Linked DNA regions of Elephas maximus indicus. The protein of the gene in region 2 purifies or fractionates together with the protein of the main gene of each other region. This does not show direct contact. Links are inferred from orthologs where the notes say so. Each region holds a gene or a part of one and is shown on either strand. Other genes may lie near its edges. The genes, in order: DCP1B, DDX6, LSM14B and EDC4.

Region 1 (7,737 bases), on a different chromosome or scaffold from region 2:
TTGCGGGGCCTGTCCTGTGCACTGAAGGATGCTTGGTACCATCCCTGGCTTCTATCCTCTCGATGCCAGTAACATCCATCCCCCCAATCGTGACAACCACAAATGTCTCTGGACATTGCCATATGTCCCCTCAAGGGCAACTCCAGTTGAAAACCACTGCTTTAAAGACTGAGAGGTGAAATAATTAAATCTGTTACCGTGGAGTTGATTTTCACTCATAGCAACTCTACAGGACAGAGTAGAACTGCCCTACAGGGTTTCCCAGGCTGTAATCTTTGCAGGAACAGATCACCAATCCTTTCCTGCATGGTGGCTGGTAGGTTTGAGCAGCAAACCTTTTGGTTAGCTGCAGAGCACTTAACCACTACACCACCAGGGGCTCTCGTGAAAATAATACAAGTGTCATATTTTTTTACTGACACACCAAACCAAAAACCAAACACATTGCCGTCGAGTTGATTCCGACTCATAGTGACCCTATAGTATAGAATAGAATTGCCCCATAATTTCCAAGGAGTGCCTGGTGGATTCAAACTGCCAGCCTTTTGATTAGCAGCATAGCTCTTAACCACTATGCCTTTTTTTTTTTTTCTGGAGTCTTTCCTGGCAATAAGGAGCAGGCCTAGCTCTAAAATTCCTATTCTACTCATGACATAACCTTTCTTAATCCTTCTGCAAAGCAGCTCATTCGGTCTACCCTCCATTCCTAATTCCTCCTCCTCTAAAGGCCTGAAGTCAGTCTTCATTTATTTTCAGTGTAATATGAATTACTCTTTTTACATTTACCTACCTTCCTACAAATACTCTCTTCTTCATTCTCAAGAAATGTTCTTTATACTTTTATTAGTCTTATGTTCAAAAGGCTCCATCCAGAGACCTCAAGTGATGGCATATGGAGACAGCGGTGACAATTTTTGTTTGCTCCCAGCACCTATTCTGCAGCAGAACTAGGTATCTTTTTTTCTGGCTATCACAGCCTTGAAGATTAATACTTTGTTGAAAGAATGACCTTTTGCTGAATGAATTATGCCCTGTCTGAAGGCAACAAGTCAGGAAGAAGGAAAACATAACTCCTGTAAATAATGCTTTGTGACACTTCTGCCTTTTGATGAGGCTTTAGTAGATGGGCTTCACTGGGTGTCTAATAAGCCTCTGTAACTATTTTAACAGGTAACTATTGCATGGATCCTGTCACAAGCTTATAGGAAAGAACTGTAATTCAAGAGGAATCCTCTTCTTTATTGTGTACCAGTTTCTCAGCATTCTCCACTCTATTCTAGCATCAAATTGGCTTACAGAACTATGATCCTTAACTACAGAAATTCCTTTACAGAATTATGACATTATACCTTTGGCATTTTCAATAGAGCAGGATAATAGCCATATGCAGAATATCTTTGTATTTTTTAATTGCCATTGAGGAGATTGTCCACTGTTACTCAATGTCTTTTATATAAAGATCCAGGAGACAAATCCCTCTGAAAGCCAGGGAGAAATAACCTCTCACCTGATCAAGTGATATACTACCTATCATAGAACAATGAATATTAAAGAACTCTCCATGGTTTCCCTTTTGGTTTAGCTACTAATAAAGCAGAGCTAAACTCTTTAACCAATTTCAGTACACTTCTTTAATTAAGAACTTTGGGCAAATATATTTTCTTCTCCCAGTTTAGGACTTGTCTTTTTATTTTTGTGTTAATTCTTTTAAATTAAAACAAAATAAGTTTTATTACAGGCACCTAAAGATCTATATTGAGAGAAGTAGGCTATATAAACCAATGTTTGTGGGTGTTAAAAAATACAGATTTGTTCAATATGGATATTTCCATCCTTAAATTTTGGTGTTAATGACTTGGAGAATACTGATATAAAAAATATTCATCTGAGATCCATTCATCCAGGCTCAGTTCTCTATACTGTTTTGTAATTTATTGAAAGTAATTGGTGGGTAGTTATATAATGGATGGGTGGCTATTATTTGGGACAAAAACCACTGTGAGGAAGAGAGAAAAAAAATACATCTCTCTACATTCAAGTGGGTGGGTTACAAAAATAAATGCAGCAATTCTTCAGCAAGACACCTTGAGCGTCTTAAGCTCCCATCCCATACCAATTGTGAGGAAATTAAATTTCGTTCCATTATTATTTATTGGGGCTCTGCTTTCAGAAGAACATAAAAATAATTCGGCTCCCAAATGGACTCAAATAGCACACTCATCTTGGTTCGGTGGACTGTGGTTTAATAATCTTTCCAAGCACATTAGCTTCCTTTTTAGTGTTAGACCCAACCCCTCTGTCTTTTATTTCCCGACGTTCGCTCTTTTTTTAGTGTTTTTTTTTTTTTTTTTTTACCTGAGTTTACGACTTCAGATTTCTCCCCTCTATCAAGGTTTGATTTCACTTCGGCCCATCTAAGACTGATGTTCCAGAACAGAACTTTCCTCTTTATTCGTCCCCTGTCCCTGCCTTCTCTAGCCACTTTTACTTCACATAATTCTGCTTTATTTTTCTCGGAGTTCATCAGTCTTCTGGTCTCAAGGCACCAGGTCCTTTCTTTCCTTCAGCTCTCAGGGTCCCGTACCCGATCGGTCCGGTCTCCCAACATGGGGTATCCTAGATATTTCCGCCTTTTCCCCAACTTCAGGTGGTTTCGCATATCGGCCAGCCCTTCCCCCAAGCCCCCGGGCCCACGGCTCCAGAATTCCACAACTTGCCCTCAGGTCCCCGATCCGCCGCCACCCACGGGCGCAGCGCCTCCTCCCCGTCACTGGGTTCTCAAGCCCCGAGTCTGACAACCCCCGGTTCCCCCCCAGCCCGGGTCTGCACGGCCCCGTCGCGTCAGCACGCACCCACTCGTTGGCCCGATGGCCGAAAGTGTACAGAGCCACCTGGCTGGCCACGTCCACGATGCGGTTGATATAGGGGTCGTGGCGCTGCAGAGCCGCTAAGCTGATATCGAGCCCCTTCCCCACCAAGCCGCCCGCCGCCACCGCCGCCATCTTTCCTCCCTCCCCGACATCAACACCGGGCTCTCGGAAGCCACTCTCAATAGATCACAGAACGAGCGAGCTGCCTCGCAACCCGAAAAATCCCGACTGCAGCTTGGGGAGGCCTTCCTTCTTCAGCCATTCCTCCCGCCCGCGGAGGGAAGACATTACTAATCGATGACAGCGTTCCTTTCCCCCTGAAGATCGTTCCACTGGAAACGTCAAGGCAAAGCCTGCCCTCTGAATCCCTATTTTTCCTCTCCTTAAAGCGATTTTCTTCCAACTTGAGATTTTGAGCCGTAGACGCGGTAGAATTCACCTCTTGAATGTGTTCGACGCCTTGGCATTTCCTTCCCTTGGCGCTTCAGTAATAAAACCTATAATCATATATAATCCTCAAGCATGAGTAACTCAGAAGGGAAAGAGAACTGTGATTTCTGCGTACGCCAACTTCCAGTGCTTCTCAGATTGTGGTCTATGGAACTCTTAGGAGGGTTCCTGAGAGTGACTCTTTCAGGGGTTCTGCAAGGTGAAAACAACGCTAAGACGTTATTTGACTTTTTCACTGTGTTGACATTTACAAAGGCAACCGTGGGTTAAAGTGTGGGTGCCTTAACATAAAAATCAAGACAAGAACACCAGACTGTACTAGTAATCAACGTTTTCTTCACTGCCATACATTTGCAGAAAAGATGAAGGAAAAAGCTAATGCGACTTTAAATTGTTCTTGAGAGTAAAAAAAAATAATTTTATTAAAGCGCAACCCTTGAGTATGCTTCTTCTTAATATTCTGAGTAAAAAAAAATGGGAAGTATGCATAAAGAACTTCTGCATACCAAAGTATACAGTAAAACCTGACAAAGCCAGAACCTGTGTAAGGTGGGAACCTCTCAAGGAAGAAAAACTAAAATATTTTCCACTAATAGCGATAGAAAAGTGTTAAGACTGCACCCTGTCAAAGGAGGAAAAGTTGTAAGACCCAGAAAAACAAGATAATCTCTTGGACTTCCAGCTCTCACAGGTTTCACTGTAATTGTCTCCAGGAAAAGCACTTCTGTGCTTCTTTGAGTTGCAAGCTAAACTAGCCATTTTTTTTCCCATTAACACTATTTTTACTTAAAAGACAGACAAACTATGGCTATTTTTAATATAACAAAATGTGTGACCATTTGAAAGATATGCTTAACTCTGTGAACAAATATTTTACAAATGACCAATGTATCAATGTATGATGTTATGTCATCATGCATAGGTAAAATATCCATTAAAGGACAAGGTAGACTAATGGATTTTAACATAGCAGAGTATGAAAAGTTAATGGACAGGTTTCAGGTAACACATTATAACTATCTTTTGAGAAACCACTGGTTGGTCAAGTTTTGATGCATTATCAAAGAATATCCACAGTTAACTGAAAAGACTATTAAAATACCCATCTCTTTTCCAACTACATATCTGGGTGAGACCAGAGTTTCTTCATCTACCATAGTTTTGAAAACAATGCACCCATACGTATAACATGTATAGCACGCCTAGGGAAATAATGCACATGGGGATTGCACGATTGGCAAAAACGTGTAAGATGTGTGTTATTTGCATAAGATATGATACTTCAACCAAAACAACATGTAGCAAAATAATACAAGCAGAAGCAGATATAAGAACCCAGTTGTCTTCTATTAAGCCAGCCATTAAAGAGATTTGCAAACTGTAAAATAACGCCACATTCTCATTAATTTTTTCTTTAAAAAAATTATTATTTTCAAAAAAATGGGTTTTTTATATTTACGTTTAATAGCTTTATTATTGTTATTTTAAAATGAATGAAAGGATATTTTTAAAGTTCTTATCTTTATTTTCTAATATGGTAATATAGATAAATATAACCTACGTAAACAAACCAAAAAAAGAATTGCTGTCTTTGAATTAAGGTGTTGGTGAAAGAGATTGAGTACACATACTGTGAACTGCCAGAAGAATGGACAAATCTGTATTAGAAAAAGTGCAGGTAAAATGCTCCTTAGAAGCAAGGATGGCAAGACTTTGTCTCACGTACTTTGGACATGTTATCAGGAGGGACCAGTCCCTGGAGAAAGACATCATGCTTGGTAAAGTAGAGGGTCAGGGAAAGAGAGGAAAACCCTCAAAGAAATGGATTGTCACAGTGGCTACAAGGATGGGCTCAAGCATAGCAATAATTGTGAGGCTGCTCAAGGCCAGGCAGTGTTTCACTCTGTTGTACCTAGGGCCGCTGTGAGTCAGAATTGACTCCACGGCACCTAACAACAACATAAACCAAAGCTCTTTGGGAAGGTGTCCTCAATAATCTTTAAGACTGTAAAGTGGTCTTGAGACTAAAAAATTGAGAACCACTGATCTAAACCATTTATTCAGCACTGAATGTTAGATCAGAACAACTGCGCAGAGATCCTTATTCACACTTATTAACTCTTACTATATTTGATACAGAAATATCATAGAATATGGAACATGTGGCTTCTCAAAACAGTTGCCTAAATAAATTGCAATATAATCATCACATTCAGAATTTTAAGTTTATTAAATTTTTGGTTAAGCTCCATTTTGAATTCTGAGTCCTACTGATGCCGGAGGCTTGGGGAAAGATCTGACTGATATGTGAAACCACCTGAAGTTGGGGAAAAGACATAAATATCCATTAGTAATCAGAAGGTAGAATGTATGAATCTAGGAAAATTGAAAATGGTCAAAAATGAAATGGAACATGTAAACATCGGTATCCTAGGCATTAGTGAGCTGAAATGGACTGGTATTGGCCATATTGAATTGGCCAATCATATAGTCTACTGTGATGGAAATGACTACTTGAAGAGGAATGGTGTTGCATTCATCATCAAAAAGGACATTTCAAGATCTGTCCTAAAGTACAACAATGCTGTCAGTGATGGGATAAAATCCACACATCTACAATGAAGACCAGTTAATACGACTATTATTCAAATTTACCCACCAACCACTGAGGCAAAAGGTAAAGAAATTGAAGATTTTTACCAATGTCTGCAGTCTGAAATTGATCGAACATGCAATCAGAATGCATTGATAATTGCTGGTGATTGGAATGCAAAAGTCAGAAACTAAGAAGAAGGATCAGTAGTTGAAAAATATGGCCTTGGTAATAGAAATGATGCCGGAGATCACATAATAGAATTTTGCAAGACCAATGACTTCTTCATTGCAAATACCTTTTTTCAACAACATAAACAGTGACTATACACATGGACCTCTCTTGATGGAATACACAGGAATCAAATCAACTACATCTGTGGAAAGAGATCATCAGTCAGAACAAGACCGGGGTCTGACTGTGCAATACACCATCAACTGCTCATATGCAAGTTCAAGTTGAAGCTGAAAAAAATTAGAACAAGTCCATGAGAGCCAAAGTACGACCTTGAGTATATGCCACCTGAATTTAGAGACTATCTTAAGAATAGATTTGACATATTGAACACTAATGACCGAAGACCAGACAAGTTGTGGAATGAAATTAAGGACATCATATGTGAAGACGAAAGAGGTCATTAAAAAGACAGGAAAGGAAGAAAAGACCAAAATGGATATCAGAAGAGACTCTGAAACTTGCTCTTGAATGTTGAGTAGCTCAAGGGAAATGAAGACATGTTGAAGTAAAAGAGCTGAACAGAGGATTTCTAAGGGTGGCTCGAGAAGACAAAGTATTATAATGACATGTGCAAAGACCTGAAGTTAGAAAACCAAAAGAGAAGAACACGCTCAGCATTTCTCAAGCTGACAGAACTGAAGAAAAATTCAAGCCTCAAGTTTCAATATTGAAGGATTCTACAGGAAAAATATTAAATGACACAGGAAGCATCAAAACAAGATGGAAGGAATACATAGAGTCATTATACCAAAAAGAATTGGTCTATATTTAATCATTTCAGGAAGTAGCATATGACCAGGAACCTATGGTACTGAAGGAAGAGGTCCAAACTGCACTGAAGGCACTGGTGAAAAACAAGGCACCAGGAATTGGAGGAATACCAATTGAGATGTTTCAACGAATGGATTCAGTAATGGAAGTGCTCATTCATCTATGTCAAGAACTTTGGAAGACAGCTACCTGGCCAACTGAAGGGGTGAGATCCATGTTTATGTTTATTCCAAATAAAGGTGACCCAACTGAATGCAAAAATTATTGAACAAGCTGATGAGGAGTGAGCCTCTTGGATCAGGTGGACACTTGAGACTATGTTGGCATCTCCTGCCTGGAGGGGAGATAAGAGGGTAGAGGGGGTTAGAAGCTGGTGAAATGGACACGAAAAGAGAGAGTGGAGGGAGAGAGCAGACTGTATCATTAAGGGGAGAGTAATTGGGAGTATGTAGCAAGGTGTATGTAAGTTTTTGTGTGAGAGGCTGACTTGATTTGTAAACTTTCACTTAAAGCACAATAAAAACTATTTTAAAAATTATCGAACAATATTGATATCATATGCAAGTAAAAATTTGCAGAAGATCATTCAAATGCAGCTGCAGCAGTATATTGACAGGGAATTGCCAGAAATTCAAACCAAATTCAGAAGATGACATGGAACAAGGGATATCATTGGTGATGTCAAATGGATCTTGGCTGAAAAAATACCAGAAAGATGCTTACCTGTGTTTTGTTGACTATGCAAAGGCATTCCACTGTGTGGATTACAACAGATTATGGATAACATTACGAAGAATGGGAATTCCAGAACACTTA
Region 2 (6,956 bases):
GCAAAAGACCTTTTCAAAGTGTTAAAAAGCAAAGATGTCCCCCTGATGACTAAGGTGCACCTGACCCAAGCCATGGTATTTTCACTTGCCTCACATGCATGTGAAAGCTAGACAATGAATAAGGAAGATGAAAAAAGAATTGATGCATTTGAATTATGCTGTTGGGGAAGAATATTGAATATACCATAAACTACCAGAAGAACAAACAAATCTGTCTTGGAAGAAGTATAGCCAGAAAGTTCTTTAGGAGCAAAGATGGTGAGACTTTGTCCCATATGCTTTGGACATGTTATCAGGAAGGACCAGTCCCTGGAGAAAGATATCATGCTTGATAAATCAGAGGGTCAGCGAAAAAGAGGAAGACCATCAATGACGTGAACTGAGACAGTGGCTGCAACAATAAGCTCAGACATAGCAATGATTGTGAGGATGGCACAGGACAAGTCAGTGTTTCATTCTGTTGTACATATGGTCGCTATGAATCGGAACTGACTCAGCCGCACCTAACAACAACAATCTTTATGGAAGCAGACTGCCACATCTTTGCCCTGCAGAGCAGCTAGTAGGTTTGAACTGCCGACCTTTCAATTAGCAGCTGAGCACTTTAACCTCTGCACCACCAGGGCTTCTTCATTTTATAAATACTAAAGTAAAAATATTTCCACTCCTAACTTATTGACATGGTCAGGTTCCAAAGACCAGGTCATTATGGGAAAATTAGCCTTATGCAAAAATGGATGATAACCACATCAGATCACAAAATATTTTGTGGGACACATATGTCCCTCCAGACCCAAGAGGCGGAAAATGTAGGTGAGCACTATCTGTACCATTGGACAAGAAAGGGTTACTGCCAGACGTACGTCATTAATTCACAAAATAGACGGGTAGATTTTTTACTGTTGTCGTAAATGCAATGTATCAGATAATGAGAGAGTTGTTAACTGAGGAGTAGGCGTACGTTGTATAAAGTATAATTATACGTATGCCCACCCACTGCCCTCGAATCGATTCCAACTCATAGCGACCCTATACGTATACTTACAGTCTATACAAAGTATAAATACTTTAAGAAAACAATACGGTTGCTATGAGTCGGAATCGACTCGATAGCAATGGGTTTGGGTTTATGTACGTTAGCAAATAATTTGTATTCCTAAGGTATCATTTCCTATGATTCTTGTTAATCTGACCTAGGGATAAAAAAGGTATTGAGATAGTTGGATCTAGCAACCATAAAATTGAGTCCAGAAGAAAAGATACAAGGATTCAAAATTAATTCTTTACCATCCACGCTATTTCACCAGAAGACTAGAAAGAGCTGATCTGGGGAGTCCCTGGGTGGTGCAAAGTTAAAGCGCTCAGCTACTAACCCAAAGGTTGAAGGCTTGAGTTCATCCAGAGAAGCACCTTGGAAAAAAGGCCTGGTGATCCTTTGAAAAATCAGTCATGGAAAACCCTATGGAGCACAGTTCTACCTGTCGCACGTGAGGCTGCCGTGAGTCAGAGCAGACTCAATGGCAACTGGTTTGAGGGCATGGTGGTTCAGTGGTAGAATCCACAGAATTCTCACCTTCCGTGCAGGAGACCTGGGTTCAGTTCCCAGCCAATGTATCTCATGGGCCCCCCGTCAGTGGAGGCTTGTGTGCTATGACGCTGAACGGGTTTCAGCCAAGCTTCCCAACTGAACGACTAGGAAGAAAGGCATTGCAATCCACTTCCGAAAATCAGCCAATGAAAACCCTATGGAGCACAAGGGATGACACAGGAATGGGCAGCATTTCGTTCTGTCGTGCAGAGTCGCTATGAATGGGGGCCCACTCAAGGGCAGCAGACAATAACAGTGGTACTAGGCTATTTTATAAAAACATTAAGCAGAGTCTTTAAAGCTTTTAGCCCTGGAAGGGGAGCTGCTTCATACTCCACTTTGGTTGCCTCTTCTCTTTTCCTCTTTTTGTCATGACTTCAATCAGCCCCCTTTGGAAGGTAACAGTTTATTTGTGGTTGCAAACCGCTTTCCTTTGCCTGATCCCATTTCTTGAGTGGCCTACGGAGATCCCACCAGGAAGTGACCTCCTGCCCTTCACATTCCTACTAATCCTGGGAAAGATAATGAGGCAAACAAGTTCTCCCACGTTATCATTTTAAGAAACTACTTAGCTATTCTCTTCTAGGATAGGCACAAGGTGCAAGGTTATTCCCTTACATAAGTGGGTGTTTTAAAATCTGTGTGAGAAATGACATGCTACAAATTTAGAATTTAAAAAATTGGAAGGGGAACCTTTTTCAGGAATAACCTTCTACACTTCTTCGTTTCCATTGGCTGTGTGGAAATAAAGACCAACAAATGAGAACAAACGGGCTGTTCATCCAGAGCTTGCTATATATAGCAAGGCAATCAACCATCATCTCTTGATTTGGTAGAGACTCAAAGGCAGGCAGGGGAGTAAGGAAGCTTTATAGTGAGAACAAGGTTAAGGTTCAGGTAGACTCTGAAGGTTGTTGGTTTAGGGAAGCTAGAGGCGGGCTAACTACAAGCGGGGGGCATCTTATGTGATTGGTTTGGGGAGCATATTTGGCTTTCTCTGATTGGTTCCGAGTTGGAAGCGGGCGAAAAACAGGGAAGCTGGCGGTCATTGACCGAATGCTGACCGTTCTGGGCCGATTGCTGCAGAGGTTGTGGCTTGGCTTCCTGAGCCTTGTTGCAGAGGTTGTGGGTCAGAGTTCTGTCGTATATGGTCTGGCCACTGTCCCCTTGTATATTCAGTCTCTTAGCTGGGTGAGACCCAGGTTTTTATTTTCTCTTGACCTAGTTAGCTCTCTAGCTCCAAATTTTTGTTTTACCTAAGATGAGACTGCATTCTTGTTATTTCTGTTAAGGATAAATGGAGACATCAGGGTCGTGTATAGGAAAAGTAATTCTGGGAACAAATACATTACTTGTCTTTGTAGCGAGGGTCAGGCACGAGAAAAAAGCATTCGCCGCCTTCTGGTTCCTCATTTCCTCACAGAACTACTTCCATTTAACTGACTCATCAGAAGCTTTCGCGCTTCTCTGGGAGAGCTCTGGCCTCCTCCGCTCCCTCTTCCCTGGAGGGCTGACGATTAGAGCCGACAACGCAGGATCGCTGCCCCTGTCCACGGCCCGCGCCCTCCGCGCCGTCTCCGGGACCCGGTAGCCCAGCCTCCCACTTCAAGGCTCGCTCCCCGGCCCCGCCGCCGTCCGCGCCCGGGCAGCGGCCACCTCGCGCTCTCCGGGGTCGGTCCCGGCCCCTCACCCCTCAGCAGCGCCTTCTCGGTCCCTTTCCGGCCCCCACCCCAGGCGCGCGCCGGCGCCTCCGGGACTCCCGCTCCGCGCGTTCCTGGATGGAGGCGCCCCCGGAGGGGCTCGGGCGCGGCTCCTTGGGTCCAGCAGCAGGCTCCCAGACCATGGGAGAAGTCAGGCCAGCTATCCGGTCCCGGAGCCACTGTCCGAACAGGCCGTTCTCGGAACGTGTCTTTGGTCAGGAATAAGCAGATCCTCGTCTGGTCGCAGCCCCCGATTTTCACTTTTGAGAACCCAATAAAACCCACTGCCGTCGAGTCGATTCCGACTCATAAGAGGCAAAGGGAGAGTGGACTCTTCCCACCCTTTATTACCCAGACATCTCCTCAGCTGAGGAAAAAGTACCCCTCCTTTCTCCTCAGAAAGGAAACTATTTCCCCTTCAACTTCTCTCCACCTGGACACCCGCTGGTCCCCCAGTCAGTGTGGGAGAACAGTCCTCCGTTTTTTTCTCAGGGGGGCTCCCCGGGTCGCCTTTCTCCTGCCGCGAAGCAGGAGAGGCCTTGACCCCGCCGTGGGCGCAGCGACGGCTGCCTGAGCTCTCGCCATCTTGAGTGGAGGAGGAGCCGCGGCCGCCGCCATGCGGAGAGACAGGGAAAGAGGGCGGGAGGCGGCGGCGGCGGCGGGCGGGAGAGGGAGGGGGCAGGGGAGCCGAGTTAGCTCAGCCCGGGCGGCGACTTCGGCGGCTCCGTGGGAGCGGGCAGCGGCAGAGGTAGGGCTGGACTGGCCCGGGGAGCCGGGCCGACGCGGGATGCTCAGTAGAGCGGCCCCAGGAGCGGGGCGGGGGCAGGAAGAGGCAGAAGCGAGGGGGCCGGGCGGGGGTGGGCGGAGGTTTCCGAAGAGGAAGGAGCCGCCGCCATTTTGGGAGCTTCGAGTCAACAATAAAGGACTGAGGGTGCCGAGCGGGAGTGGCCTCGGTGGTAGGACGCGGGCTCGAGCCGCGGGGAGCGGGGTGAGGTGGTGGGGTCGAGGTCTGACGGGCCACTGGGGCTGCGGAAAGCTTTGAGCCCGGCGTGGGGGGCGCTCCGAGGCTGAGGCCTAAGGCCTGGTCCGGCCCTGGGGAGGAAGGCGGGCAGCTGCCAGCAGCTGTGTGGGACGGGGGCGCCTGAGAGGAGCAGAAATAGGAATGTCGTGCGCGGTGGGGTCCAGATACAGAGCGGCCGAAGTACTCGGAGGAGATGTGCAGTGGATGATGAATATGGAACTGGAGGGAGCGGCAAGGACTAGGGGGGTGGTGGAGGTTATAGGGTACGCGGCGGCCCTATAGGGGGCGGCATGGAAATGCCGGATTTAAGGGCCCTGTTAAAAAGAGGGCCAGCAGTTGCTTGATTGGGATGGGGCTTTTAGATCCATAACAAGAGTGTGTTTGTGGAGCCCCCGAGTCGTGGAGGAAATGAGGGCCTTTCTGAGTTAGGGGTATCACTTTGAGGCCTTATGGAGGGAGTCTCTATTGTTTCCAACCTTCGGAGCTGGTTCCTGGCTCATGTTGCGCAGATACGATTGCAGGGCCCCAACCCTTTTGTGTATATGGCCAGAGGAAGCTGACTTGAAGTGTGTAAGGGACTGAGGATGCGGAGAACGTAGATCAGAAATTATTGCCTCACAAAACGGGGCTCGTATCATTGGCTTGCCTCTTTCATTTCCCTCTCATTCCCTTTTCTCTTCCACGGTCTCCTTTTCCCCTCAGAATAAAACTCACTACAACTTGCAGATCTAGCATACCGAAACTGCGCTGCGTTTGCAAACAAAAGCTCTCGTTGGAGATGACAATGATATTTTGGGTGTGAAAGTGTCAGTTGCTAACTACAACCTGAAAAGTGCTGTAGTTAACTCCACTAGCGGCTCCTCCCAACTAGTTTACGTTTCCTTCGTATTTTTGAAAACGTAGAAATACAATTTGCAACACTAAATTGGGAAGGGCCAGAGGAATATTTTCTTCTCTGCAGTGCAGATTTCAGTTCAATTAAGAGGGGAGCAGTTACCACATAGTCACATTTTGGATCTGGAGAGAACAGAGGTCCTGTTGTTTATAATGGGTAGTAGTAATATCATTTAATCTTTAGGGGTTGCCCTCTTCATCCTCTTAGTGTCTTGCAGACAAATGAGTCTCCCGGTGTGAACTCGGTGATATTGTTCATCATGATAATATAAACCTCCCAAATCAGGAAACCATTTACTACCTTGAAACTGAAATTAGGTGGCTGTTAGCCATGGTCCGCTTGAGTGGTCAGACAGATACAGGGAAACGTAGAAATATAAAGCTCTGTGTATGAGATAATTAGGATTGGCTTGTGAGCAACCTGATTGTCAATTAAAAAAGGAAGACAAAGGAGCATTTTATAATTTCAAATTTGAAAACCCATGATGTATGGCAAAAATAATAAGTCCTGATTAATAAGTTAGTGTATATTTGGTAAGAAATGTAAAGGAGTTAAAAAAAAAAACAACAGCAGGCCTTTGTTTTCTGGGCTTTGTAATTAAGTTTTTATTTACTAAGTTTTTAAATGCAGTCATGTGCCGCATAAGGTCCATTCAGGCAGTGTTGGACCACGTATCCGTCTGTGGTCCCAGAAGGTTATAATAGAGTTAAGAAATCTCGATTGGAGAACCGGACATAGGGAACAGCTTCGTGGTGGCTGTTCAGTCAATATAGGTAACACTACAGCATCCCATATGGCTTTGCTAAGTACAATCAGTCCCTGGGTTGCGGACGCCCAACCTAGGAACTTCTGCTTAACGTACTTAACGTACAACCTGTAGTTTTGAACCTACCCTGTAAAGCCTATTAAAAATTCGAGGTAGACACAATGGTTCACAATAACAAATGGGTGCTACTTTGCCTTGCGCATCAAAACAACCCATTGCCGTCAAGTTGATTCCTACTTTATCATGTTAAAGACGTTTCAGTGTATCTGGGAGTTTTTTTTAAATGTTTTTCATGCATAGAAACGTACACTATATACATACTAAGACAAGCATTCGACTAACTGACGTTAGAAATGAACCGTACCTGTTATGACTTAACATACAAATTCGACTTAGACATAGGAACAGAACTCATTTGTACTCTGGGGACTGCCTGTATATAATACGGTGTTCACACAACATCCAAATCACGTAGTATTCTATTTCACAGAACATATTGTAAACCTTAAGCAACCCATGGCTGTAATTCGATTTTGGGAACAGAAGTTGAAAGTAGTGAAATTTGACTAGTTCTTTTTTAAAACAAATAATTAGTACTCTGGGTTTCTTGGAAGGGTTTGTTAAAGTCACTACTGTGCTTAGCTGTTCACAGATTTACTCCTTTTACACAGGAAATTTTTTTGTGTATTTTTTTAAATCTATTTTTGAACAACAGGACTATTTTAAATTAGGGCATAGTTTTGGGAAAAAATGTTATATTAAAATGTAGCTAATAGTTTTTTAGTATTCAGATTTTATTAAAGTAGTTAAAGATTTTCTTGGCTGTTTTTCAAAGATGCAATTTTGACATGCAGACAGGTCTGTGTCCCGTGATTTCTTCAGTCACTATTTTAAGGGGCAAAAGCTTAAGGGAAAGAGGAACGTACATTTTTCTTTGGAAAGTTCAGTTTCTGTAGTTGAAGTTCATAAGGGCACACAGTGTTTTT
Region 3 (7,409 bases), on a different chromosome or scaffold from region 2:
AACACACGTGGACAGAAGTATAGACCAACAAAGTCAAAGAGAAACACACACACGAGTCTCCTTCCCTGGGGCCCAGCTGACAGCACACTCCACACACACATATAGAAAGACACACACAGGCCGCCTTTCCCGGGGCCCCGCTAACAGCACAGCCACCTCCTGAAAGCTGCCTGGATCCAGGTCTTCCACAGGAACGTCAACAGCCTTGACCAAATCCATCCCCTTTCCTCTTCATTGAAAGGTTACCCCTTGGGTTGAGTATTCCAGCCAGACAGATGACAACCAGTTTCACTTGGGCACCAGCACACATCAGAAGCCATGCCACAGCAGCTCAGTGACACGTTTACCTGTACAATGGCAGGATCCTGAGGAAGCGTGTGCTGAGCTTTTGGAGGTTCGCACACGGTGATGTCTTTGATGTCACTTCCACGGAAAATGATGTACTCGTAAATCTCCTCTCTCGGGGGGGCAGGCCTATCTGTGGGGCGGTCTTCAGTACCAAAAGACCTCACTTGAGAGATAAGAAGAGCCAAGTATAAGACTGTCATCCATAGCCAAGCACACCAATCACCTCTCTAGCACAACAGCTCCACACCTTCCGAAGACAGAAGAGGACCCAGCAGGCCCCTTCCCCTGAGCACGTCCACATGCAGCACCCGGATCTTATGCTGCAGCACTGACTTGGCACTCTGACTTTCAGCGAACGATACCTACAGAATTAAGCCACCTGACAGAGCCCACAAGGAACAATCTCATGCTGACAGTTCCATGACATGCCAGCTCCCTAACGCAAACGCACCTACGTGCAGGACTCCCAACTAGTCCTAAGTTAAACAGCTGACAGCTGGCTTAGCCTGAAACCTCCCCAGGGAACAATGCTCTTCAGGAGAGAAGCCAGTGAGCTGTGCCATCCCCCTTCCTTCTTCCCACCATCAGCCTTGAACAGCTGTTTCGGTAGTGAAAATACTGGCGGAGGAGAGAACCCAGAACCTGAGTGGTCACTCTCTCCTAAGCTGCAGAACCGGAGGCACTGCCCTGATAGGCAGGGCTCAGGGGTCCCATCTTTGCTTCACAGGAACTCAGGCGCATATCGAGGCTTGAGGGCAGCCTCCCTAGACTACAAGCACAACTCCTGCTGAGTACTGGGGGGCAGGGGCTCAGCTTCTCTAACAGACAGCTTCTATCAGGTGCAGCACCAGGAGAAAAAGGAGCCTTCTACGCTGAAACATTCCCGTTCCCGCAGTAGCAGTGCAGTCTCCACTCCGGGAAGCATGACTATGTCCAGAAGGCCTGGGGCTCCCTCTGTGGCAGCAGCCTCAGCACACCTCCCGGCAGAGATCCTGACCCACCACAGTGGCCCTGACCTGGCACAAAAAGGGCTGGTTTCTGCAGACCTAGGTCCACAAGGGCTGTTTTCCAAACGGCAGGAGTACCTGCCCATCTTCTGTAGAGTGTGGACCACCTTCTGCCTCAGCAAGCTCAGAAAACATCCTGGACTGATGTAGAACCCCAAGTCTAAGTCTAGCCGAGCCTACCCAAGTTTGTCACCAAGGGGTAAGCCTCAGCATCTGGGAGAGGATAGGAAAACTGAGCTGCTGCCATTAAGAAGTGGTATTTGTTCCAGCTCAAGACCCCAGATGCTTAATGGGTTCCAGAAAGGCCTGAGAATTCATGTTCTCTCCCCCCTCAGCCTGTGAAGGTCCCTAAGCCTGTGAAGGCCTCTGGGACACTCCTGGCCCCTTGCACCGCCTCTCGCCTCCCCCGCCCGAGTTCCCTTTCTTGGCCCAGCTGTCCCCTCCCGTCCCAAGGGCAGGTGAGGAGCAGGCTAGACTTCAGACAGCCCCCCAGGGTCTATGCGGGACGCGCCCTGCCTCCACTCCGCCCCGGCGCACAATGACGCTGCTGTGGGGCCGTAGGGCCGAGGCGAGACTATTGTGTGGCTTGGGTGCGCTCGGGGCACTCTCCAACAGGGGCGGGGGGGGGGCCGTCGCGGGGGTAAAGGTGACAGACATTCTTGGGGAGAAAAAAGTGTGGAGGGGAGCATCGTGGGGGAGGAGGAATCCTGGGGGGGAAAGGGGCGTCGTGGTGGCGAGAAAGTAGGGGCATACCCAGGGGAGGAAAGGTCGCAAGGATTTGTCCGGGGGGGGGGGCGTTTGGGCTAGGACAGAGCCCGAGGGGCGTCATGGGTGTGGGGATGTCGCAAAGGGAGGCGTCGTGGGGGAGGGAAGAGCGCGGGAGGCGTCATGAGAGTGCTCTGCGGGAGAGAAGGGAGTTCTCTGGGGGCGAAAAGGAGGGTAAGCATCCTTGGGGGAGGGGAGGTCGGGGGCTGCGTCCTGGGGGAGGGCGTCGCGCAAGGAGCATCGCGGGGGGCGCACTAGCGGAAGAAAGGGTGCGAGGAGGAGTTCTCTGGGGGCGGGAAGGGCGGAGAGCATCCTCGAGGGGAGGTCTGGGGGGGCGTCCTGGGGGAGAGTGGAGCATGAGGGTCGTCGAGGGGGACGCTCTGGAGGAGGGGAGGGTCCCCCGGGGTAGGGCAGGCGGCGGACGTGAGGTGGTCTGGGCACGGGTCCGGGCAGTCGCACCGGTGGGAGAGCCACCCAGAGGCGGGGGCCGGGCTCGGGCGGTTGGGCCGGCTCCGCGGGCGTACCTTTGGCGAGCGCCACGGTGGAGTTGTCCGTATCGATGGTGTAGAGGATGCCCTCGTAGCGAATCTGCGCCTTGGAAATGAGACTGATCTTGCTGCCCAGGTACGGGGTGCCCGAGGAGCCGCTCATGGCGGCAGCCGGCCGCGGGGCTGGGGCGAGGCGCCGGGCCGCGGCCTGCTCCGCCGCCGCCTCACGCTCGCCTCGCCGCCCGCTCCTCCGCGCCTCGGCCCGCCGCCGCGCCGCCTGCTCGCTGCCGCCCAAGAGCCCTGCGCGGGGACCAGGCGGGCCAAGAAGGGCGCCGCCGGGCTCTGAGGGGCGCGGGAAGAAGGGGCGCAGCAGCCACATCCGGGTCCCCGCGGAGCGCTCCGCCCCCGCACCTCCCATTGGCCCGCCGCGCCGGCCTCCCTTTAAAGATGGCCGCACCGCCAGCCCGGGGGCGGGCCCGCGCCCTGCGCCTGCGTAGGGCGACGTCCCCGCCCCCCGCCCCCCGCCCCTCCTGTTCCCGGCGGGCCCTGCGAAAAGCGGGGAGCACGAGACTGCGCGCGCCGTGGAAGGGGTTGGAATCCAGCGCGGCAGCGCGCGTGTTCGGACGGGGTGTTCGTGTGCAGACCGCGGGGTGGGGCCAGCCTCAGTTTCTCCGTCTGCGTTATCCGGGTCCGCACAGCCTCTCCGTGGCATGGGTTCGAGGGTGGTAGGGCGGCCGTGCGCCCCGCGGCCGTCGACCGGGTGCGCTTCCCCGTTCCACGTCCCGCGGTCCGAGATCGGCGCGCGGCGTCCGGGGGGCTCCCGATGGGCCCGGAGGGAAGCAGGGGGAGGGCCCGCTCCTCGCGCGGCCCCGCGCCCAGGCCGTGCAGTCTCTCAGGGAGGACAACAGTAAAGCGCAGTGGCACCGGCATCCAGCACTTCCGGCGGGTCAGCCCCTAAATATAACGCGCTGAGACACTCCTTAACCCCGGATCTCCTCCCAGACCTGCGGCGCCTGGTGGCTGGCAGGGCCCCAGGCCCCACCTGTCCTGGCCCTGCCCGCTCGCCCCTGCGCCCTACCCCGCTGGCAAGGAGGCTGGAGCCCCGGAGGGCAATAATGTAGTACGGTCCCCAACCCCGTTTATTTCGCTACGCCCCTCAAGCGGCACCTCGCACAATAAGCAGTTAATACGCATGTGCGGCTGTTTATCTCTCCTTGACCCGTGCTGGCTCCTGAAAATTAAGTGGGTGGTGACCTGCGTTGTATGTAAGTAAAACTGGAAACATTAGAAAGCGCGCTACATAGGGACTGAGGAGACGTATTATTTATGAAGTGCTTATCTCACGTGTACACATGTACGTGTGTACTTGATCAGAGCTGAAAGCCGTGATCAGAACAATTCACCTGCCATGTGAGACACGGAATTTTGACTACCCCATTTTACAGCGGAGGAGGTGCGTTCAGGGCAGGTCTGGAGGGGTCCGAGCCAGGCTCTCTGCCAAGCACCGCCCCAGAGCAACCAGACCCCTGCAACATCCAGCCAGAGAACAGTAGTTTGACGAAGAGAGCTCAGGGGAAGCAGACAAGAAGCTGGAAAAGTCTTCCAGGTGTGTCTGCCAGGACTTACCTGCACACCCTGGAATTCCTTGCCTCCTGGGAAACAGCACCAACAAGGAGCACAAGCAGTGAAGCTGCAGTTAGACCAGCCCAGTAAGAGAAGTGCTGGGGATCGGCTCATCTGCCCCTAGGAGGAAGATCCAGGCTCTCATCCTGTCCTCCGACTTACTGAGGTGCACCTGTCTGCACTAGGCGCTGACGGGGGTCTCCTGGGCACCTCACATCAGCTGGCCTGGTGATCCCACTGTTCTGCCGAGGTTGAGAGCTAACTGTTACAGACCTCTTTACCCCACAGAGCAGGGCACCTATCCTCTACCTTATACCTCCTGGTTTTTGAGCCACAAGCCTGTTTGTGTTAGGGGTGGGGCTGCGTTCTCAGGGCACATGAGCTGATGCCCTCTTAGAAAGAGGAACTGCATCCCAAGCCTGTGGAGTCCAGGTAATGGGCCTCAGGGCCAGGGCAAGAGGCAGCTCCAGAGACCTCCCAAATGCTGCCAGGCTTCTGGTAGTGCAGCAGGGTGGGTCCCTGAAGACAAGCGGCAGTGCGAGTGCCTGGGCGGGGCAAAGGCCTAAAAATACACGTGGTGTCCAGGCCCAAGAATGCAGGAGTCTTGCCCGAAGTGGGAGCAGGAGCGTGCCCTCGACCTGATCTAGGAGGGCATTGGTGCAGATTGTTTTCCAGACTGGGCCACACCCCACCTGGCACCTCCACCCTAAAAGCCCTGTAACAGCACGCAAGCTTTAGTCCAGAGAGCAGAGCTTCTGGGAGGCCCTGGACAGGTCAGACCCTCTGCTGCAGTTTCCCCGTCTGCCCTGTTCATCTCGTTGGTGGATGTGAGGACCCTAGCAGCTGCTAATGCTTGTGAAGGGCTTTGTGGACGGCCAGGGGCCCGCTCATGGCAGATAGGGTGGGTGGTGGACAAAGAGGCAGCTGGGAGGTTTCCACTGCAGCCAGAGCCACTGATGAAGCTCCCGTGGTGAGTACGCAGGAGAGCAGTGTGGTCTCCAGGGAGACAGGTGTGAGCACCTGGAGGAGGGAGCCCACCTGGTTGTCCCCACACACTAGCTGAGGTCCTCCAGGTACGTGAGGCGGATTGCCACAGAACCATTTTGTGGCTCTACTGTGTCCGCAAGAAAGAATGGCCAGTACAGCTGCTGATTTCAGGGACTAGAAGGCTCTGGGTGGCACAAGCGGCTGAGTGCTGGTCTCCTTGCTGAGAGGTTGGTTGATTCAAACTCACCCAGAGGCACCTCCGAAGAAAAGCTTGGCAATCTGCTTCCGAAAGGTCACAACCTTCAAAACCCTATGGAGCACAGTTTTATTCTGCACATGTGGGGTCACCATGAAATGGACTCCACTCGATGGCAGCTGGTTAGTTTTTTACCAGGGCTTCCAACTAGTTCATTCTGGTTTGAACCCCTGCTGATAACTTGCATTTCCATCTCAGATACACTGCATCAGAACCTGTGGTTTAACAAGATCCCCAGGTGATTCTCACATGTAAATTTTGAGAACCCCTGCTTTACTAGTGGTTCTCAGAATTGGTCCCTAACCAGCAGCATTAGCATCGCCTGAGAACTTGCTGGGTACAAACTCTCAGCAAGGGTTTGAGGCCGATGGAACTGGTTCAAAGCCCTGGTTTTTACTGTGTTTCTAGCAGGATCTCAAACCAGTTCATTCAGATTTGAACTCCTGCTGGAGATTTGCATTTCTAGCAAGTTCTAATAAGCTAATGCTGTGGTTTAGGGACCTGTGGTAGAGTGAATTACTTAATATGGCCCTTCTAGTTTTTTTTTTTTTTTTTGCCATAGTCTTTGTAATGCCCATCAAATAACTGGGTGTGGGGGGGAGGAGGGAGAGTGGGAGAGGGTTATTTACTGATTAGTAGATAAGAACTACTTTAGGTGAAGGGAAGGACAATACTCAATACACGGAAGGTCAGCTCAACTGGACTGGACCAAAAGCAAAGAAGTTTCCGGGATAAACTGAATGTTGCAAAGGTCAGAGGAGCAAGGGCAGGGGTTTGGGGACTATGGCTTAAGGGGACTTCTAAGTCAATTGGCAAAATAATTCTATTATGAAAACATTCTGCATCCCGCTTTGAAATGTGGCATCTGGGGTCTTAAATGCTAGCAAGCAGCCATCTAAGATGCATCAATGGGTCTCAACCCACCTGGATCAAAGGAGAATGAAGAACACCAAGGTCACACGATAACTAAGAGCCCAAGAGACAGAAAGGGCCACATGAACCAGAGACTTACATCATCCTGAGACCAGAAGAACTAGATGGTGCCCGGCCACAACCAATGACTGCCCTGACAGGGAGCACAATAGACAACCCCTGAGGGAGCAGGAGAACAGTGGGATGCAGACCCCAAATTCTCATAAAAAGACCAGACTTAATGGTCTGACTGAGACTAGAGGAATCCTGGCGGTCATGGTGCCCAAACCTTCTGTTGGCCCAGGACAGGAACCATTCCCGAAGACAACTCACCAGACATGGAAGGGACTGGACAGTGGGTAGGAGAGAGAAGCTGATGAAGAGTGAGCTACTTGTATCAGGTGGACACTTGAGACTGTGTTGGCATCTCCTGTCTGCAGGGGAGAGAGGAGGGTAGAGAGGGTTAGAAACTGGTGAAATTGTCACGAAAGGAGAAACTGTAAGGGCTGACTCATTAGAGGGAGAATAAGTGGGAGCATGGAGTAAGGTGTATATGAGCTTATATGTGACAGACTGACTTGATTTGTAAACGTTCACTTAAAGCTCAATAAAAATTGTTATAAAAAAAACCCAAAAATCTAAAATAAATAAAATAAAATAACTGGGTGAAACTTTGCAAATGAGGTGCTTGTGGTCCACTAAGGAGATTGGATAGCTTGCTAATAATGGTACCCTCGTGGGGTGGAACCATGCAAATATGGTATGTAGAGCCCTAAAGAGGCAATGGGTCAGTTTCGTCACCCCGGTAAGCTTAAAAGGAGACATGAGGGGGCAGGGGAGAGGAGACATGGAAGTCAGAGGTAGCAGAGGCAGCAGAACCAGGACAGAGAGGGAAAGCTGTTAACTCTGAAGATGGCGAGAAGTAGTGGCACAGAAATGAAGGCAGTAGCAGAACCAGTAGACCTGCAGGAGACGGCACACTGGGCCTCCTGGCCCAGGGAGTGAGAAAGCTGAGTTCCTTCG
Region 4 (7,419 bases), on a different chromosome or scaffold from region 2:
ATGACCTGCTTCTCCTGCAGGTTAATGGGTGGCATGGCTCGGAGACCAGGCTTGCCTGTCGAGGTACCATCACCTGAGCTGAGTGGGTCTGGAACCAGGAGCCCGTTGAGATCCCCATTGTAGGTGTTAGATGGCCGCTGGCTCTCTGCACTGGAGCCTGGGAGTAGACAGGGCCACCCTGATGAGGTTATCAGACCTGCCCACTAGCCTCTCCTCCTTCAGAGCTTCCTTCCAGAACTGTGAGGTGTTCTCAGAATGCTTGACTGAGAGAGGCATGTCCATGGGGAGGAGAGTGACTGTGGGCCCTTTGCTCATCCCTTGTTCCACAACCCAACGTGTGCCAGGACCAAGGATGAACATGAGGCTATTCTACCTTGGGGAGGGCCCTCCGATGCCAGTTAACACTCAGGCCTGGGTCAGCACAGGGGGGTAGGGTGGGGTAGAGTGGGAGGAGGAGGGGACTCTGTTCACATGAGGGAGGGCATGGGAAGGGCCAGGAAAGACTTCATAGAAGAGATGCCATCACAGCCAGCGTGGCCAGAACACACAAACATGGGAGGGAAGGGGGAGGACAAGGCTGCACAAGCTCTAGGTATGATACTGGGGTGCTTAGATTTTCTCTGTGGGCAACAAGAGCTACAGAAGAGTTTTATACTGAACGATGACAGCTCTGGTCAGCAGGCTGATTGATGGCTCTAAGGCAGCATACAAGATGGCTGAGACTCTGGGTGAAAGATACCAGGGCCTGAACCAAGGGAGGAGCCCTGGTGGCACAGTGATTAAAGCATTAGGCTGCTAACTGAGGGGTCAGCAGTTCAAACCCACCAGCAGCTCTACAAGAGAAAGATGTGGCAGTCTATTTCTGTAAAGATTTACAGCCTTGGAAACCCTATGGGACAGTTCAACTCTGTCCTATAGGATCACTATGAGTTGGAATCAACTTGACCGCAGTGGGTTTGGTTTTTTGGAACCAAAGCAGTGGCAGGGGTTGGAGTGGAGACACTGATAAGATATGGAAGTGAGAAAGGAGGGAGCCTGACCCGCACAGAAATGGTTTAGAAGATGTCACCTTGGGCAGGTAGATTAAGCAGGAATGGACACTGAGGGGCTAGACAAAGAGGAGGGAATCTATGGGGTGGGTTATAGAGTCAGGAAAAACAACATTTCAATTGTTTGCCATTGGCTGGGCCGTAAGTACCCTCATAGGCTCAGGCACCACTCCCAAAACTCCTAGGGGGCACAAAGACTAGGGCCTCACGGCCAGGAACACAGTAAGTTTCTAGTCACAAAACAGTCCAGTGTCTGACATGGTGCTCTAGTGAAAGGGGACAAACAAGAGCTACTTGGCAAACAGGGAAGTCAAGTGTCAATCAACAAACAAAGGAGTTATGAGGAAAGCCTTCAGGCCACTGCACTTGAAGCAAAGTCCCCTTAGCTGCTAAGGGGTAAGCTGACAACTCTCCCTTCCAGGTCAGCTACCATGAGGACAAACAGCAGGCCCAGGCTTCACAAAGTTGGCCATGACAGGTTCTACCAAACTGTTCTTAGTCTGTACAGCAGCTGAGGAGCCAGTCCTGCAGGCAGCCTGAGAGTCCAAGCCAAACTCATGAGTAAAAGAGCACATACTCCAGGACTGGGGCAAGGGGCCAGGGGTCTCAGGCAGCAGATAAATTTGCTCAGGGAGTGGAGGTGACTAAATCCACCCAAAGTGAGCACCAGTGCCTCTTCCCAGAAGCATCCAGTGTGGGCCTCCCAGCAGGCATACAAACAGGATCTGAGAAAACAATTCTCATCTTCGGCCACAGTACGCCCTCACCACCAGCCAGTCCTTTAACAACGATGACTTTTCCTGAACCTACCAGGAAACTTTGGTGCCTTGACTGTGTCCATTTCCTCTTCATGGAATGCCTATCCCAACATCCAAGCTCCTATTCATATTACAAGATGGAATCTAAACATCGTTTCCTCTCTCAGACCTCTTCTCAGGCAAAGGCAGCCTGAACTCTCCAACTCCACCCTCCCAAAACAGTAGCAGAACACTTCTCTATCTCCATGATAACAGCATTATTTTACAACCTTGTTAACTCTTCTGTGTCCTGGGGGCTCCTTGAGTACAGGTAGGGGAGGTGGGCAGCTCTGAGGTATCGCTGCAAACCCAACTGAAGTTTGAACGAATGGAAACAAATTAGGGTTTGCAGACGTTTGTGGCCTAATCTAATCTGAGCTGTGCGTTCTGTGATTTGCCTTCACCCAAGAAAGAGCACAGAACCAGTGCCGGCCACCTCCCTCCTGGAAATTAGTTTCAGAACAACAGCAAGCCTGGAGTTCTCATTCCAGAGGAAGGGAGAGTCGAAGAGGAGAGCGGCTCCTCAGCACAACACCTAGGTCCAAACCTGGGACTTGGCATACAGAACCCGGATCAGGCCTTTGCACCATGGCGAAGGGGTAGGGGCTTCAGACCAGTCACAGGAACACCCGCGGAGGCACCCACAGGTTCAGGGAAAAGGCCTCACCTTCAGCCTTGGCGCTGAAGGACGAGGCAGCACAGCCCGATGCCGGTATGGGGAGGGGCCGCACGCGGGGTCTGCGCCCTTCGCGGTACAAGCTCAAGGGTCTACGGTGCCGACCCGGATCAGCCTCCACTGGCCGGGAGGATCTAGAACCGGTCCTGAGGGCCTTGAGAGAGGTTCGGGCCCGCACCGCCCTTCTGCCCGCCCACCGAGGGCCCACCTCCGTTGTCCCCGCTCACCCCCTGCGGGCCGGTCCAGCTTGAGAATGTCCCGCAGGTGCTGCGTGGCGTCCTCGATATCGATGCTCGCGCAGGAGGCCATAGGCCCTGCCACGGGCGCTGCGCCCGCGCTGGTTCCTTCCCCGGCCTCCACGCACCGCCCCACGGCGTCAGGGTCAGACGACGGGACACCGGTCACTATACTCAGTCCACGCAGCCCGCAAACCGCCGCCCGCTCCGCGTCCCTGAGCCCCGCCAACCCCCGTAACCGCCTCCACTTCCGGCCCTCCGAGTCTCGGCTCCCGGAACCTGCGCGGACCGGAGAAGAAAGGTTCCGGCCTGGGGGCGCACGCCTCGTTCCTCCCCGAAGCCTGTAACCCGCGGTGTCCACGGAGTCCCGTGGAGTTCCGCAGGATTGATGCCGAGCGTCTCCACACACTGCGCAGCTCAAAGTCATAGGCGCTTCAGGTCCCGCCCGGTCTATCCCCACTCCCAGGGCGCAAACTTCCTGATAGGCCCAGTATGGGGTCAACTCACTTTCCTTTGAGGAAATGGGTCAGTGTAAACCTAGGCTTGAGGGGGACCCGCGAGGTTCTAAGGCCCGGGAATAGCAACGGCAGGGGAGATGGCCCCACCATAATGACCACAGTTAATTGTCCTCTACTGCCCCAGCATCACCTTGCCCCAACCAGCACTCTCAGGCAGGAAGAAAGAAACCATCATTTACAAACACCTCTTTATTGCAGACATTTCAGGCACAGGTACATGGAAGCTATATTGCAGATTTTATACAGGGTGGTTTAAGAGGCAGCAGGCATCCACCTCTCCCCAACCCTACCCCCCAATACACAGCAGCCTAGAAACCAGTCCCTCTGAAATCTCCTGAGTTTGCTGTCTTCTCAAACAGCAGACCATCCAGCCCTGTGCCCAGTGTAGCCAGGCGACCTACGGGGGTCTGAGGAAGTCTGTCCTCCACCCACAGAGTTGGTGGTGGTGTCTGTTTACAGGTTAGGCATAGCTGTGGTGGCCTCGCCAATCCTAAGACCCCCTAGCTGGGGCATCATCCCAAGTCCTCAGGTTGGTTCTAGCCTGCAGTTGCCATCTTGCCATCAGGTTTACACCACCCAGTGGTCTCAGGGCTGAGGAACTAGATTTACACTGGGCAAGGCCTCTGTTCTCAAAACTGAGGAGTAGAAAAGGCCCCAACAGCTAAGACTTCCTGGGACTTGAAGACAGTGTGAAAGTGCACATGTGTAGTGAGGGAGGGAATAGTAGGGAGGGCTGAAGATATCCTGTAGAAGTTTGAGGGGTGAGAACTCCAGGAGTATGAAACCCTCAAAATCAGCCTCAGATTGCCTTCTTCCACAGCTCCAAATGATACTCCAGCTCAACTGGGCTTAGTTCTGTGGTCATCGGAGGCTGGCTGTTCTGGCCACCCACCTTTGGGCAATGATATACAAAGCAGGTAGTAGTACAGAATCTGACTTGCCCTCTGCTGGCTTAGGGCACCCTGGCTGTGATCCTGACCCTTCTGGGGATATGGGTATGAGAGCAGGTCCCCTTTAATCCCACAAATCTCTGCTCATCCTTGATCTTCACCAAGACCTCAGCCCAGAAGACCCGGACCTGATGGGGTTTTTACCAAGCTCTCTCCAGCTTCAAGGGGATTCAGGGTCCACATTCTTCCTAGAGAGGCTGGCAGTCATAATCAGAGACATCTCTCCTGCTACTAGAGTTGTAAACCTACCCAGGGCAGAGGTCACCAGGTGTCAGAACAGACCTGAGCCCTCCCCTGTCTGCAGCTCACTTCCCCAAGGCAAGGCAGGGGGGAAGAGAACACGTGCCCTACAGGCCTTCCAAGAGAAGCTAGCCGAGAATACAGCTTCAGCAGTATTCTGCTTGCAACAACAGGTATTGCGGAGTTAGGGCACAGGTGGGAGGGTGAGAAATGAGAGACAATGGGGCAGAGTAGTTTTTGATGCTCAGCCAACTGTTAAACTAATTAAAACAATTTAAACTGTTAAGAAAATTTTCGTGGTTTTATTGTATAATGAGGCATTGAAACATCTGAACAAATCAATATCTGGGCGGTGAGGCAGCTGCTTTCTCCTTCACTTCTTTGGGTTACTAGAGCAACTTGTCAGTAGATTTAAAAAACAAAACAAAAGACAACCTTTTGCATTACTTAGTCTTTCCAAGGCATGCGCTGGTACAACACAAACTTCTCCTGTCAGATGCAACTAGTCTAGTGTCCAAACATCATGCACAACACCTCGGTGGCAGTAGCGCACCGCGCCCACTCCCACTGTGGCCCTGCTCGTTTGTATATGATATTTGGAGCATCTGGCAGAGTGTGAATAGTATCGGGAAGAGGAGGGAGGAGGAAACAGCATGAGTGCCTGGCTGGGAGGAGGTCAGCCAAAGTTGTGCAGAGCAAGCCTGAACATGTCATTGGTGCAAACCCAAGCATCATTGATGTTCTTCAATAGGAACATCTGGTGAAAGCCCATGATGGGGTCTTCGTCGGCCTGTGAAGAAAGAGAAAATGGTTCAATAAGGGGACTGAACGATAGCAGGGGGGTTCAGTGATAGAACAGGGCAAAGAATGTTGACTTTGGGATCAGGCCCTACTGTACTGGATTCAAATTCCAGTAGCTGAAGAGTACTCATGAATATGAACTGATTAAAAACATGAAATGTTGTACTGGGCAACAGCAGGGGCCAGTAGATGGCCGCTCACACTGTGATGCATTTCAAGTGCAGATGAATTCATCAGTTAGCTACAGCAACACAGCAGACAACACACCTGCCTCTGAGCCCGTCTCTGGGCACAAGTGATGACAATTTTGAAAGAATCCCAGAGTGCTCACCACATTGACATACAGTATCACAGCCTGTAAAGTAAGTGTCTGAGAATGTCAGTCAGTCCAGCCCAGAGAAACTACCATTAACACTGTGGCCAAGAAAAAAGTATGTGAGAAGACATTAAAAACTGAGTTCACAATGTGATCATAGCTCTACAGGGAAAAAAAACAAAACAACCATTGGGTAATCTGTTTCTTGTCATGTAATATTGACATTTATAATGAAAGAGGAAAGTCAAACTGCAGAAAACCAGGGTGAGACCTAGTTGAGGTAGGAGTCCAGGAGCCCAGCTAACCAGCCTGGTGTCTAACATCACCTGTTTTTTGGGGAATTATCAGCAGGAAGAAGGCAAATCAATCTTTCGGGTGTTCTGAGTTGAAGAACCTAAAACCAGGTGGGAGGGGCCACTGTTTACGAACCCCAGCCAGGGTTCAGTGGGCACTGAGCTCCCTGGAGAGGCCTCCTCTACCCCCAGGGCCAATTCGGGCAGGGCATCCTGGCCAGGCAAGAGAAACTGATAGAAACCAGGTCCCTCTGGGTCCACTGCAGAGGCCTAGGGGCCCCTCCACCCCTGTACGGGACCCAGAAAGCTGCCCCTCCCCACTCACCCAGCACAGCCTAGGGAGAAGGCATGTGGGTCTATTATTCTTAGCCCATCGTAACACAAAGGCCCAGAGGGTTGGGACCTGCCAAGGGGCAGTCAATTTGTCCTGCTTTGGGAAAAAGGAGGAGCTTTTTGGAAACTGAGACTATGACCTTGATCTGCTGGGGCACAACAGGTAGGAGTTCTGGGAGAGCCTCTGGGGGCTGAAGAGCCACAGGAAGGCTTTGAGGATCACAGGTCCTGAGAAGGGTAGGGCAATGCAGAGAGAAGCAGGAGGGAGTTCCAGGACTCTGCTGTACCCAGCAGGCAGAAGACCCAGAATCCAGCCTGGAGAGTGGCAGCATAAACTCCACTAGGGGACTGCAGGCCCAACCACACCTCATGGCACCATGGCTCTGTCTTGCCCTCAGTCCTCCAGCTCTTCCTGTCTCTTTTCCAGAAAGGCTCTAGACAAGTGCTCTCTAACAGAACTTTCTGTGCATTGTCTAATAGGTAGCCACTAGCCACAGTGACTACTGAGCACTTGCGATATGGCTAGTGCACCTGAAGAACAGAATTTTTAATTTATTTTTAATGAACGCAATTTAAATGTTGCCACGTGCGGCCAGTGGCTATTGCATTGAATTATGTAGCTCTGGACGGTCACTTTGTCCGGGTGCCACATCCACAAGGAAGGCAGGGGGCTCAGGGCTCTTTCCTGCCAGGAACCCCTCCGTAGCACTGCAGTAGTGCTTTTACCTTGAGCTGGCCCACAACCATGCTGATGATGCAGCTATCTGGCGTGGGCTGATGGTCCTGCGCCGTGATGCTGTGCTGGATTTTCTGGAACGGAAGGCTCTGCGAGACAAAGAATAGGCAAGGGGCTCAGAGAGGGTAGCAGGGGCAGGGAAGTGGCTGCCTGCACCTGGCCCTGACCATTACTTACAGACAACTTCTCCACAATGGCAGCTTTCCCCTGGAACTGCTGTCCTTCCCATGTAAGGCATGACGCGTCAATCTGAAAAACGCACCAGAAACCCCAGGTCAAAGCACAAGAAGTAGGGCCGTGACCGCAGCTCTGAAAGGGTCTTGCTGGGGAAAGTGAATCCATACTTCATTTTCCCTGTCTGTAAAGAGGGGTTATGGGTAGCTTCCAAACTTTATATTATCGACAATTTCCTTAATGACACCCATTGCCCATGGGCCCAGTTAGAGACTGTTTAACAAAGTACACTTGCTAGGT

The links.
Region 1: the proteins of DDX6 (region 2) and DCP1B purify together in Homo sapiens (affinity purification with mass spectrometry; 6 studies listed by BioGRID and IntAct, counting the BioPlex papers as one, with this or other methods). This does not show direct contact. The link is inferred for Elephas maximus indicus from reciprocal best matches to the Homo sapiens genes DDX6 and DCP1B.
Region 3: the proteins of DDX6 (region 2) and LSM14B purify together in Homo sapiens (affinity purification with mass spectrometry; 4 studies listed by BioGRID and IntAct, counting the BioPlex papers as one, with this or other methods). This does not show direct contact. The link is inferred for Elephas maximus indicus from reciprocal best matches to the Homo sapiens genes DDX6 and LSM14B.
Region 4: the proteins of DDX6 (region 2) and EDC4 purify together in Homo sapiens (affinity purification with mass spectrometry; 4 studies listed by BioGRID and IntAct, counting the BioPlex papers as one, with this or other methods). This does not show direct contact. The link is inferred for Elephas maximus indicus from reciprocal best matches to the Homo sapiens genes DDX6 and EDC4.

Annotation. Positions count from the first base shown.
Region 1 is NC_064822.1:56,680,483-56,688,219, reverse strand, and holds the start of DCP1B (mRNA-decapping enzyme 1B), read right to left. Parts: upstream 3,010-7,737; 5' UTR 3,003-3,009; coding exon 2,853-3,002; intron 1-2,852. UniProt on the Homo sapiens protein: May play a role in the degradation of mRNAs, both in normal mRNA turnover and in nonsense-mediated mRNA decay. May remove the 7-methyl guanine cap structure from mRNA molecules, yielding a 5'-phosphorylated mRNA fragment and 7m-GDP.
Region 2 is NC_064835.1:11,249,157-11,256,112, reverse strand, and holds the start of DDX6 (probable ATP-dependent RNA helicase DDX6), read left to right. Parts: upstream 1-3,956; 5' UTR 3,957-4,036; intron 4,037-4,154; exon of another isoform or gene 4,155-4,276; intron 4,277-6,956.
Region 3 is NC_064843.1:5,804,871-5,812,279, forward strand, and holds the start of LSM14B (protein LSM14 homolog B), read right to left. Parts: upstream 3,020-7,409; 5' UTR 2,988-3,019; coding exon 2,645-2,987; intron 512-2,644; coding exon 348-511; intron 1-347. Other genes in the region: uncharacterized protein LOC126067817, read right to left, coding at 3,050-3,562, 4,235-4,345. UniProt on the Homo sapiens protein: mRNA-binding protein essential for female fertility, oocyte meiotic maturation and the assembly of MARDO (mitochondria-associated ribonucleoprotein domain), a membraneless compartment that stores maternal mRNAs in oocytes.
Region 4 is NC_064839.1:34,302,232-34,309,650, reverse strand, and holds the start of EDC4 (enhancer of mRNA-decapping protein 4), read right to left. Parts: upstream 3,013-7,419; 5' UTR 2,832-3,012; coding exon 2,750-2,831; intron 158-2,749; coding exon 1-157. Other genes in the region: NUTF2 (nuclear transport factor 2), read right to left, coding at 5,143-5,256, 6,936-7,034, 7,123-7,194. UniProt on the Homo sapiens protein: In the process of mRNA degradation, seems to play a role in mRNA decapping. Component of a complex containing DCP2 and DCP1A which functions in decapping of ARE-containing mRNAs. Promotes complex formation between DCP1A and DCP2.